Linked DNA regions of Canis lupus familiaris. The protein of the gene in region 1 interacts with the protein of each later gene in a pairwise test. Links are inferred from orthologs where the notes say so. Each region holds a gene or a part of one and is shown on either strand. Other genes may lie near its edges. The genes, in order: HSF2, NUP62 and WDR5.

Region 1 (2,883 bases):
CCTATTTCTCTGTGCTAGGCTTTACTTTGAATTTCTACATCATAGTAAGAGAAATTCCAAGATATTAAGAGACGGAATATGGCCAAGAGGAAGGCCCTATTTTAATTTGTATTCAAATATAAATTGCACTGCTTCCACCCTTGTGCCTGAAGGTGGAATTCAACTTGATAAAAGAGGTGCCCGCCTTGCATTAAGCCTCTGTAAGCCTCTTGAACAACTGGTCCAAAAGGAGAAAGTGACTTAACTGTTTGTCTCTCTAGGGGCAAAAATCACAGGCCTTTGGGTGGCATCCAGTGATAATGTTCTTACCTCATTTGGGACAATGAGAGGCATACTTCTCTTGGTTCTTTATTAGAAATATAGAAAGCAAGCGAGTATAACTTTTAACACAGAACTTTAAAACACATTAAGTTTAGAGACCTTATATTCCTTCTTGTTGTAATACACACAGTCTATCTCTTGAGATGGGGCACAAATTTCTTGGTATGACTCAATGGACAACAGACAGTTTACAATTTAAGCCTACCTACTTCCTATAAAAAGGAAAAAAAAATTATGTGGGTGTCACCTCTAAAGAAGACACATAACAGACACTAGTACGCAACATTCATTATATTTATTTTACTAAATAGTATGGTTCAAAAAAACACAAACAAATCAGAAAACTTTTACTTAAAACTAGTCCAACGAGATGGATGGTGTTGATGCCATCCCATCCCCTTCTTTCTACGTATGTGGAGCTGGAGCCATATCTGACAGCAAGCACTCATGTATACTTTGCCTTTCCTGTTGAACATGAATGAACTTCTCTGAACAAGAGAGACAAATGAAGTTTTACAAGATACAGGCACTTTATGTTCCCAGTTTTAAAAATAAGCCAAGTGAAAAATATTTAATAAAAGTAACTGGAACAGATAAAGCTTTAAGAGTTCTACCATTAGTTCTAGTGACTTAACACTCAATGCAAACAGACAGCATCAAACAAGTAAAACAAACAAAAGTTTAACTGGGGTTAATGGGCATATATGTAAAAAAGAAATCCAAGTTACTACAACTGGAGAAAAATGGCCATTTGAATCCAACTTAAAGATATGCCAACAATGTGCATTAAGTCTTATGTACCTACGTAGCTGAGTAACATCTGAAAGCTTTGCAAGAGTGTGTAAGAAAAGCAAAAGGTGCTTTTGATTCCACAGTATCTGATTAAACAAAACAAAGCAATTTACAAAAAAAAGTACCAAATGATACTTTAAAATAAATAGTTCATCATTTTGATGAATATATACATGTAGAGTCCACTTCTTGGGGATTTAACTATCTAAAAGTGGCATATCACTATCCAGAGGTGCAGGAGCAAGTTCACATAAATAAAACAGTGTGGCTTCACTAGCTTCGGCTTCAGTCAATGGCTCCAGGCGAACAAGCTTACTTTGGGTTGGCTCTGGATCTAGGCTGCTATCCAGAAGCTCATCAACTTCTATGGGTTTATCTACAGAGGACATAACTTCTGATGATGCTGTACTTCCCTGTTCAACAGTAGAAGCAGGGTTCCCATCGAGGAATGCAAGAAGTGGAAAGGCAGTGTACTGGATAAGCTGCTTATCTATAATAAAGATTAGAAAAATGCTCTTTTATCACCAGCTTATACAGAGTTCAAGCTGAAGGTGGAAAAAATGGAAACAGCTGTGCATATATGCAATCAGTACCCTTATACACCCAAACAAGAAATATGATACTTTGGTGTCAGTAAATTTTAAAATGTACTAGTCAGAAAAGTTAAGTCTTGTTATTCCAACTATTAAGATAGAGTTCTTTAAGTTCTCCTAAAGTTAATTTTTTTAAAAAGGACTTAAACTAGTACCTCACCAATTTAATTTTCTCTATAAGCTGAAACCTTGATACGTTATGCACAGAACTGAGAACAGTACATTCTGTGTTCAATCGTTAAGTATGGCAAGACTTTCCTTGGCTCACATTACTTTCTATGTAGGACTCTTTAATTTTAAAAATCTGTAAAAACTAATACTACATTTATACCTACCTGTTTTGGGTTTAGATTTTCTTCCCTCTTCTGAAACTGGCTGAACTACATTGTTCTTGGTAGTTTCTAATCCTTTATTCTCAGACTAAAAGAGAAAAAATAATATAAAAAATTCTTGTTTCATATTTTATATATTCCTAATAATGGCAAAAAATAAAAAACTGATACAGTATGTGAGCACTGATGTGTTATTTGAAATACAGGTGAAGGGGGAAAGCACCAGGAAGGATGAACTAGAAAGAGAAACAGATTTGAATAGGTAAGACTGGTTAAGAAAACTCCTGCTGTCATCAAGCGGATGAAATAAAGAACCTGAACTAGGATGACAGTTAAGTATGAAAAGAGGGGGCATTTCAAAAGAACAGACCGCACCGTCACAGGTAAAAGATGGAAATGAATCAAAGATGGCTGGTTTCAAACTAACAGATGATTCTTTAAACAATTAAACTCATCTTAAACAGCTTTGATTAAAAATGTATATTACTTATTTCTCTTCATTCACAAACAGAATATTTAGCATAGTGAACATTTTTAGAGTGGGTCAGGATTACATGGTGATATCCTTAAAACTATTATCTCTATATTTGGAAGCCTCAAAGTTGAGGTGAAGTTTCTTCATTTCCTTTGAGACTCTTTCAGTTCTTTTCTGTCATTTAAATTGCTTCTTTGAACCATTGTCTTCTCTCCTCACATCTGATTGCAAAGGGGATTAAACCTTTAATTTTGTTTAGTTCTTCAATGCTCTTTTCAATAATGTTCAAAACTGAGGTGCAGAGGTTCATAATTTTCCCTAAATAGCCGTAAGTTCCAGACAGTTGCTTGCTGGTTAAGTTTAAATGGTG
Region 2 (4,325 bases), about 45 Mb from region 1:
GAGCCAAAGGCAGATACTTCTCCACTGAGCCACCCAGGTGCCCCTCTTTGGGCCCCACTTACTTTTCTTTAGAATTCCCAAGCCCTGTTCCTTCCTATACAAAAACCTAATGGTCTCCCAGGGGAATTTCCTTAAGCCCTTCCCTCCCACCTCACAAAATTACACTTCATTAAAAAAAAAAAAAATCAGGGCAGCCCGGGTGGCTCAGCGGTTTAGCGCCGCCTTCAGCCCAGGGCCTGATCCTGGAGACTCGGGATCAAGTCCCACGTCGGGCTCCCTGCATGGGGCCTGCTTCTCCTTCTGCCTGTGTCTCTGCCTCTCTCTCTCTCCTCTCTGTGTATTCTTATGAATAAATAAATAAAATCTTTTAAAAAAAATTTCAATCCCAGGAGAATTTTCTTCCAGCCACACCCCTTCCTCTAAAGTATTTCCTTTAGGCTCCATCCCATCTAAACACTCGGCTCAAAAATCAGCTCCCAGGGATCCCTGGGTGGCGCAGCGGTTTAGCGCCTGCCTTTGGCCCAGGGCGCGATCCTGGAGACCCGGGATCGAATCCCACGTCGGGCTCCTGGTGCATGGAGCCTGCTTCTCCCTCTGCCTGTGTTTCTGCCTCTCTCTGTGTGACTATCATAAATAAAAATTAAAAAAAAAAAAATCAGCTCCCAGGGGAATTCCCCCAGCCCTGCCCCTCCAAACCGTGGTCTACTAAGTCCCACGGCTTCTTTTTAGCTTCGCGGTGACCGCCCCAGTCCCTTCCCGTCCAATTACCTTAGCCCCCCACTTCATTCCCGGGGATACCCCAGAGGCCCCGCCTTCTCTCCGTTGAAACCCCACCCCAGGTAAATTTGCTTAACCACGCCCCTTCTCACGATAGACCCCCGCCCACCCGTCGCAGCCGCTGATCCTAGCTCCACCCCCCTCCTTACAGGTGGCCTCTAAGCCTCGCCTTCCGCCCTGTCAATCTGAGTCAGCCCCACCCAACCCCGCCCCAGCAGGTGCCCGAATGAAACATAAATTGTGTTGTGCGCATGAGCAAGGTGGAGCTCGGAGACGGGAGCCGGCCGGCGGAGCCACACGCCTCTCTCGCAGGGCTAAAGCGCATGCTCTGCCACTGATCCAATTGTTCTCTCAGGCCTGCGGGGTTGGGGAGTCAGTGCGCATGTGCAGCTGCTTACTGCCCGCCCTTCACTCAAAAAATACGGAGTCTGGTGGGCTTGTGCACGTGAGCAACCGCTCGCGGACAGACTCATTCGGGGAGCGGGGGGCGACCCCCGCTCGGGGCTAGTGCGCAGGCGCACTGCGTGCAGGCCATCTTTAAACTCCAGCATTCTAGGGAAGAACGTACCCTTCCCCCACTGGACCGAATGCGCATGCTCGGCCGCGTGCCAACGACGCGTTTCCCTCTTCTGCGCCTGCGCGACCGTGATTCCTCACTCTCGTCTCCCCACCCCCCAGGCCTGGTCGTGAAGGCCGCGAGCTTCGAAAGGGCGGGAAAGGCGGTTGGAGAGGGAGGGGCGAGCGGTTACTCACTCCATGGCTACGGAAAGGAGAGGCGGCGGCAGCCTCAGCTGAAGAAAAGAAGGCGGTAGAGAAGAGCGCAAGCGCGGTGAGCGCGGAAACGGGCCGGGACACGGAGGGGTCGCGGCTACAGAGCCATAGCCGGGGTTGGGCGGGCGGAGATGGCGTCTCGGTAGCCTGAGAGGAGATTGTGATCTGTGGATGGGGAATGAGGCGGCCCCGGGGAGTGGGGACAGATATACAGGGGATGGCGCAGCACGGCCTCCCCGGATCCATCCGCGCCCCGCCCCGCCAGGCCCCAACCGGGAGGCGGGCCTGGCCTCTCCTCTCGGGAATCCTGGAATCCACTCCCCTCCTCCTCCCGACGCGGAGTTAGGCCTTTTCCTTCCTCTGACCCGGGGACCAGCTCCGTCTTCCTACCCCAGGGGTTCCGGCCCCCGTCCTCCTTCCAACTCTGGGGTCCTGTTCTCTGTCTCTCTGACTCAGGTCCCCTCCCCCCCAATTCTAGGGATTCGATCCCTCGCCTTCTCTGAGACCTGCCCTAGTTCACTTTTGGTTTCTTTTGCCCTAGTTCTCGAATTTCCGGCCAGCCACATGCTGGACTCCTATCCCCAAACTGCCGCCCCACGCTAAGAACCCTTTTTGTGGGTTAGACTCTTGTCTGAGTCACAATGAGACCGCGCGCGCCGTTCAAATCTCAGACCTGCGATGGTGGCCAAATAATCAAGTTCTCTAGTCTCGTAGATCGAGAACTGCCTGTAAAATGAAGAAAATAATCAACTCTGCCTGATGAGAATCAAGTCGATGCCTGTGAAACCCAGAGCCCGGCTCTTAATTGCCTATTTAATGTATCTTATTTTTAATAGGAACTCTGGGGTTGAGTCTCAACCATACCTCCTGCCCTGGCAAGATCCCCAGACATTTGACCATACAATAGCTGCTAGTAGGTCATTCTTGTGTCTTCTTCACTTCTTCAAGGTGTCAGTAATTGCCAGACATCCCCACCTTTCCCTGTTCCAGATGATGGACGCTCACCCGCAACACCAGCACAGTTGCAGAGAAGCAGGCATCATCACCCTGACTGTAGCTTTTCTCCATCCTCTGCCCACCTCCCATCAGCCCTTATCCTTAGCCCTCCTTTCAGGCCAGTTGGTTCTGCTTCAGCTGCCCCCCACTGGATCAGTTTACCAACCCTGCCCCAAAATAGGGAGATCTGCACTGCCCTTTGCTAAAAGAGAGGGGGCTTCCTGGCCATTCCCTCCTATGCACTAGACCCTCCACTGGCCCAAGTGGGTATGGGTCTTTACTTCCCACCTTGCATCTGTCCACAGCAGGACACCTAGAGTTCAACTTAACATCACGGGTGGTGGTTCTGAGGTCCAGAGAAGGTGGGGGAACTCTGATCTTGAGACTTATTTGGGAATGAAGATAGCAGGCTTCAGTTGCATGCAGGAAGTCCTTCTTGGGATCTGACCACTTTCACTTAGAGCACTTACTGTGTACTGTGCCAGTATTTGAAGATTTGACCTATAGGGGCTAGGTTATTACCTAGGCAGCATGAGTAGCAGTTAAGTGCAGACTCTGGCGCCCAGTTTTGGGTTCAGACCTTGTCTCTACTCCACTTATTAGCTTACTGTCAATTTCTTTTTTTCCCTGTGCCTCGGTTTCCACTACGTTCAAATCTCAGACCTGTGATGGTGGCTACATTATTTTATCGCTACGTTTCTATTAACTCCATATAGAAACTTAGCGATACATGTGGCAGCTAACAGTGCTTACTTCTGGGGTGCCTGGCTGGCTCAGGCGTGTGACTCTTGATCTTCAGGTTGTGAGTTTGAGCCCCACATCAGAAGTAGAGTTTACTTAAAGAAATAGTGCCAGGCAGCCTGGGTGGCTCAGCGGTTTAGCGCCACCTTCAGCTCAGGGCCTGCCTGTTCCTGGAGACCTGGGATCGAGTCCCACATTGGGCTCCCAGCATATGGAGCCTGCTTCTCCCTCTGCGTGTGTCTCTGCCTTTCCCGGTGTCTCTCATGAATGGATAAATAAAATCTTAAATAATAATAATAATAATAATAAGTAGTGCCTACTTAGTACTGTCACAAGGATTCAATGAGTTAATTCATAATTCAGGTCAAGCATTTAGATTAGTCCTCCTTTCTGCCCCCCCAAATCTTAAGTCTTCTAAAAACATCTAGTATGTACACATGGACTAGGCAATTTAAGTAAATTTTTATTTTAGAATAATTTTATTTTTGGGCAGCTCCAGTGCCCCAGCGGTTTAGCACTGCCTTCAGCCCGAGGTGTGATCCTGGAGACCCAGGATCGAGACCCACGTCGGGCTTCCTGCATGGAGCCTGCTTCTCCCTCTGCCTGTGTCTCTTCCTCTGTGTGTGTGTGTGTTGGTCATGAATAAATAAATTAAAAATCTTTAAAAAAAATTTTTTTTTATTTTTACAGAAAAGTTACAAACATAGTGCGGAGAGTTTCCATATACCCCACATCCATTTTCCCTGTTGTTGACCTCTTTAACATTTCTGTGATATATTTGTCACAACTAAAGAACCCACGTCGGTATGGGATTTTAAAGTGCACACCTCATTTTGATATTCTGATTTCACTAGTTGTTTTTGTTTTTGTAGATATTTACTTTAGAGAGCACAGGCAGGGGGAACAGCAGAGGGAGAAGCAGGCTCCCCACTGAGCAAGGAGCCCTACCCAGGGCTTGATTCCAGGACCTTGGGATCATGACCTGAGCAGAAGGCAGATGCTTAACCAACTGAGCCACCCAGGCACCCCTCGCTAGTTGT
Region 3 (3,648 bases), on another chromosome or scaffold:
GGGGCAGCCAGCAGAGTTGGTGCCAGGGGCTTCTCGCTCCCAGATGGATCTACTTGGGAAACTAAGTGAACCTCTTTCACACGATGATGACCTCCTAAAGCTCACCGCAGAAACACATGGTGGGTAAAGTGGCCCAACGAAGATGCTCATCGCACTCCTCCATGAGAAATGCAAGCTACGAACAAGCACCTGCTAAGGCCCCAGCACAGAGTGCCCACTGCCCATGGGGGTCTATGGACACCACAGATGCCCGAGAAACCCTCCCACAGGGACGCACAATAGCTGTGGTCACCCCCACCACTTACAGGACAGATGGTGGGAGATAGCACATATTTAAAATATCAGAATACCCAGGGCGTGCGGGGGGGGGGGGGGGGGGGGGGCTACCAGCAGGGGTCCTGGAGGGCTCAGGAGAGTGACTTTCTCTTCACTGCATCCGTTTGTCTTTTTTAAAAAATGAGTACGTTTCACTTCCACAGAAAACAAAGACTCTATAAACCCTACCACTTAGGCTGAGGGTCCCACCCACAGCCCCCGCACCACCTCGCACTGCTGGGACTCCTGGCCTTCACTCAGCTTGCATCCTGGGTCCTGCCCACATTCACCACCATGCCCATCTCAAAGTCAGCTCTCCTGGGACTGGGGGTCCACGGCAGAGGGCAGAGCGCCAGGTGGGCCAGGCCCCCTCTCCACAGCACACTGCCTTCCTCGGGGCCCCCAAGGATGAGCCCCATCCACACTGGCCGGGACTCTGGGCAGCGAGGGCCCCTCAGTCCACTGCGACCAACACGTAATACATGTCCTCCATGTATCTGGGCTCTGCGAATGGTCTCAGCTGGGCAAAAAAGCCCTTTATTGCCTGAAAATACTTAAAATCACTCACCTACACGATTTCAGAAAGTGAAAAGGACCATCTGCTCAGTAAAAATAAGCACAATGTTTACACGATTCCTTCCCCTTTCCAAAAAAAGGCAAACTTGGCTAAGAAACAAGTCTAGGCTCTGCTGACAAAGAAAAAAATCTCTCGGCCACTTTCAAATGGAGGGTTTGTATTACAGCAGATACTTCAACTACGTACCTCATCTTGCACACTGCTAGCGTGTGCACAAGGCAGGACACAGCACACACAGGGTGCTCGTGGGGCTCCAACCCCCCCCCCACCCCAGCCCTTACCCTCGGCTAGCTCACCCCAGCTCATTCCACCACCACCCCAGGATCAAAGCCAACTCCACTCCAAATTCACTTCTCTGTGGCCACACTTCCCAACACACAGCCCCTCTTCCAGGCCTGGCTGCCCTACCTGTCCCACAGGATTTGGTTCAGGGACCAAACCCCTCGCCTGCCTCTCCTTTCACGGGCCCAGGATAGGGAGAACTCTCTCGGGGTCCCCAGTGCCCCCTCTCTGGCCATCACCCTGTCTTGCCATGTGGTGTCCAGAGCTCAGCGGGACTTACAGCTGAGACCGGGTCCGAGTGTGCAGGCAAAGTCTTGAGGCACTTCCCTGTTTTCACGTCCCATATCCTCACGCTTTCGTCAAACTGAAGACAAAGGAAGAGGTTAAGGCCACTCCACAGGGAGGTGGGAGAGGACAGGTCTTCTGGAACCCAAGGCCTGCCACCACGGCCCCCATCCCCCAGCAGAGAAGACTCAGGCTCAACTCCTAAGTCTCTGGCTACAAAGTACCACACCCCCACACCCCTACAACACCCCAGGGGAAGGGGGGGTTAGACTTACAGAGCCCGAGACAATGAGGTTGGATTGGGGATTGAAGTTACAGCAGAAGACGTAGTTACTGTGCCCCTTCAGGGTTTTCAGACACTTTCCCTAAAACCAAGTATCGTCAGACTGTTAGTCCTAGTGGTTATTTCAAAGCTGAGCCCACAGCGGCCCAATGGCACATACCCCACAGAGCAGGGCCACCCCATGACCCAGGGTCCCCAGACCCCCCTCGGACTCCCGCCCTGCCCCTTGTCCACGCACACAAGCTCTGCCGGGGCGGGGGTTGGGCAGAGCAGCTCACCGAGCTCACATCCCAGATCTTTAGGGTTTTATCATCTGAAGCAGAAACGAGGAGGTTGGAATCTGATGACCAGGCCACATCTGATATCCCCTGGGGAGCAAAGACACAGGGTCACCGCCTTGACAGGACAAAATACAGTTAACCAGCAAAGGTCAGAACATCCATCCAAAGATAAATAAGCACCTCACTCCACTACCCAAACCCTCTAGCTACTGCTGACCACACAGACGAAACACCGCACAGTCCCCAAAGGAGAGTGTGTTCTCTTGCAGTCAGGCAGAAACTTGTCTGGGAAGGTCAGAAGTACTTGCTTAAAAGACAAAAGGAAAAAAAAAAAAAAAAGACAAAAAGCAAAGAACTATCCAAAAAACTCCGGGGGAAAGCTTAGACCTTAACCTGCTGAGCTCTGGGGATGGGCCCCACCCACCAGTGGGGCTAAGGCGGCCAGTGGGCAACCTCCACGTGCAGGGATGAACCTACCAGCTTGTGACCAGATATGGTTTTCTCAAACTTTCCGTCATATGCTCCCCAAATTTTAATGAGCTTATCAGCAGCTGAAAAAAAGAAAGACAAAATAACTGTGATGGTACAGTCACCCCAAGGGCAAAATCCGGGCTGCCCACAACAGGAGCCCTGGAAACAGTGCAAATCCCATGGAAAGAAGTAGCCGGCACCGGAGTACCCTTCCCCTCTCCCCTGAGCACATCATCTCAGAGTGTTACGTAAAGGGCTCCAGCCCCTGCGACACCCCAGTGGCAGCATCAGAAAGCAAGCCCTCCCCCTGCTCCGGGCTTCTGGTGGCAGCACAGACTACCTTTGACAGGAGCGGAGGCCCTGGTGATACGTACATGAACTTGCCAGCCACTCTCCATTCGGGCTGAATTTCACGGAGGACACGGCTTTTGTGTGGCCAGCCAGGGTGAATTTTAGAGCGTAGTTTGGTTTAACAGGGGTAGGCTGTTGAAGAGAGAATACTAGTCATCAAACCATTAACCACCACCTTGCTTCAAACTCAGAACCACCTTCTAAGTTCCAAATCCTGCTAGAACTCTCTGGAAGTCCTTTCCAACTGGTCGTGTTTAAATCTGGGCTATTTCCCCTCGGCAGCCCTGCTTCTCCTGCAGCCCCCACCTTCGTGCCCAGCTCTTCCAGGACAGCTCAACACAGAGGCCCCTCAAGGCCTGACCCCACCCCAACGTCCGACACGCATCACCAAGTCCGGCAAGCACAGCCTCCCTCAAAGCAAACCTGAAGGCTGTAGCCTTGCTCAAAGGCCTGTATGTGCCGCCTGGTGTCCAGCAAAGGGGTTTGCAAACCTGCCTGGCCACCAGAACTGTGGACCAGGGGGATGCTGTATGAGAGGCTTTCTGGGTGCTGCAGAGATCTTACGATCAGGAACAAGGATCTATGTTGTGATAAAGCCCCTTCTCCGGGGGACAGGTCTGGGGATCCTCAGCACGGTAAACAAGCACTGATTAGGTCTGTGGCCCATAAATAAAAACACAGTGTCTAACTGAAGAGGGAGAACAGACTTGGAAGAAGCATCTCTGAAGAGTACTCGGCCTAGGCGCCCCTGGCAGTTCCCCTCAAGCCCTCAGGGACATGCCTTGCTCTGCGTAGCCGAGGAG

The links.
Region 2: the proteins of HSF2 (region 1) and NUP62 interact in binary tests that used the Homo sapiens proteins (3 or more experiments, as listed by UniProt). The link is inferred for Canis lupus familiaris from reciprocal best matches to the Homo sapiens genes HSF2 and NUP62.
Region 3: the proteins of HSF2 (region 1) and WDR5 interact in binary tests that used the Homo sapiens proteins (3 or more experiments, as listed by UniProt). The two-hybrid records come from large-scale screens. The link is inferred for Canis lupus familiaris from reciprocal best matches to the Homo sapiens genes HSF2 and WDR5.

Annotation. Positions count from the first base shown.
Region 1 is NC_049222.1:62,382,298-62,385,180, reverse strand, and holds the end of HSF2 (heat shock factor protein 2), read right to left. Parts: intron 2,127-2,883; coding exon 2,042-2,126; intron 1,604-2,041; coding exon 1,311-1,603; 3' UTR 598-1,310; downstream 1-597. UniProt on the Homo sapiens protein: DNA-binding protein that specifically binds heat shock promoter elements (HSE) and activates transcription. In higher eukaryotes, HSF is unable to bind to the HSE unless the cells are heat shocked.
Region 2 is NC_049222.1:107,310,820-107,315,144, forward strand, and holds the start of NUP62 (nuclear pore glycoprotein p62), read left to right. Parts: upstream 1-1,473; 5' UTR 1,474-1,606; exon of another isoform or gene 1,607-1,824; intron 1,825-4,325. UniProt on the Homo sapiens protein: Essential component of the nuclear pore complex. The N-terminal is probably involved in nucleocytoplasmic transport.
Region 3 is NC_049230.1:50,410,400-50,414,047, reverse strand, and holds part of WDR5 (WD repeat-containing protein 5), read right to left. Parts: coding exon 3,627-3,648; intron 2,978-3,626; coding exon 2,869-2,977; intron 2,575-2,868; coding exon 2,501-2,574; intron 2,111-2,500; coding exon 2,021-2,110; intron 1,825-2,020; coding exon 1,735-1,824; intron 1,539-1,734; coding exon 1,455-1,538; intron 1-1,454.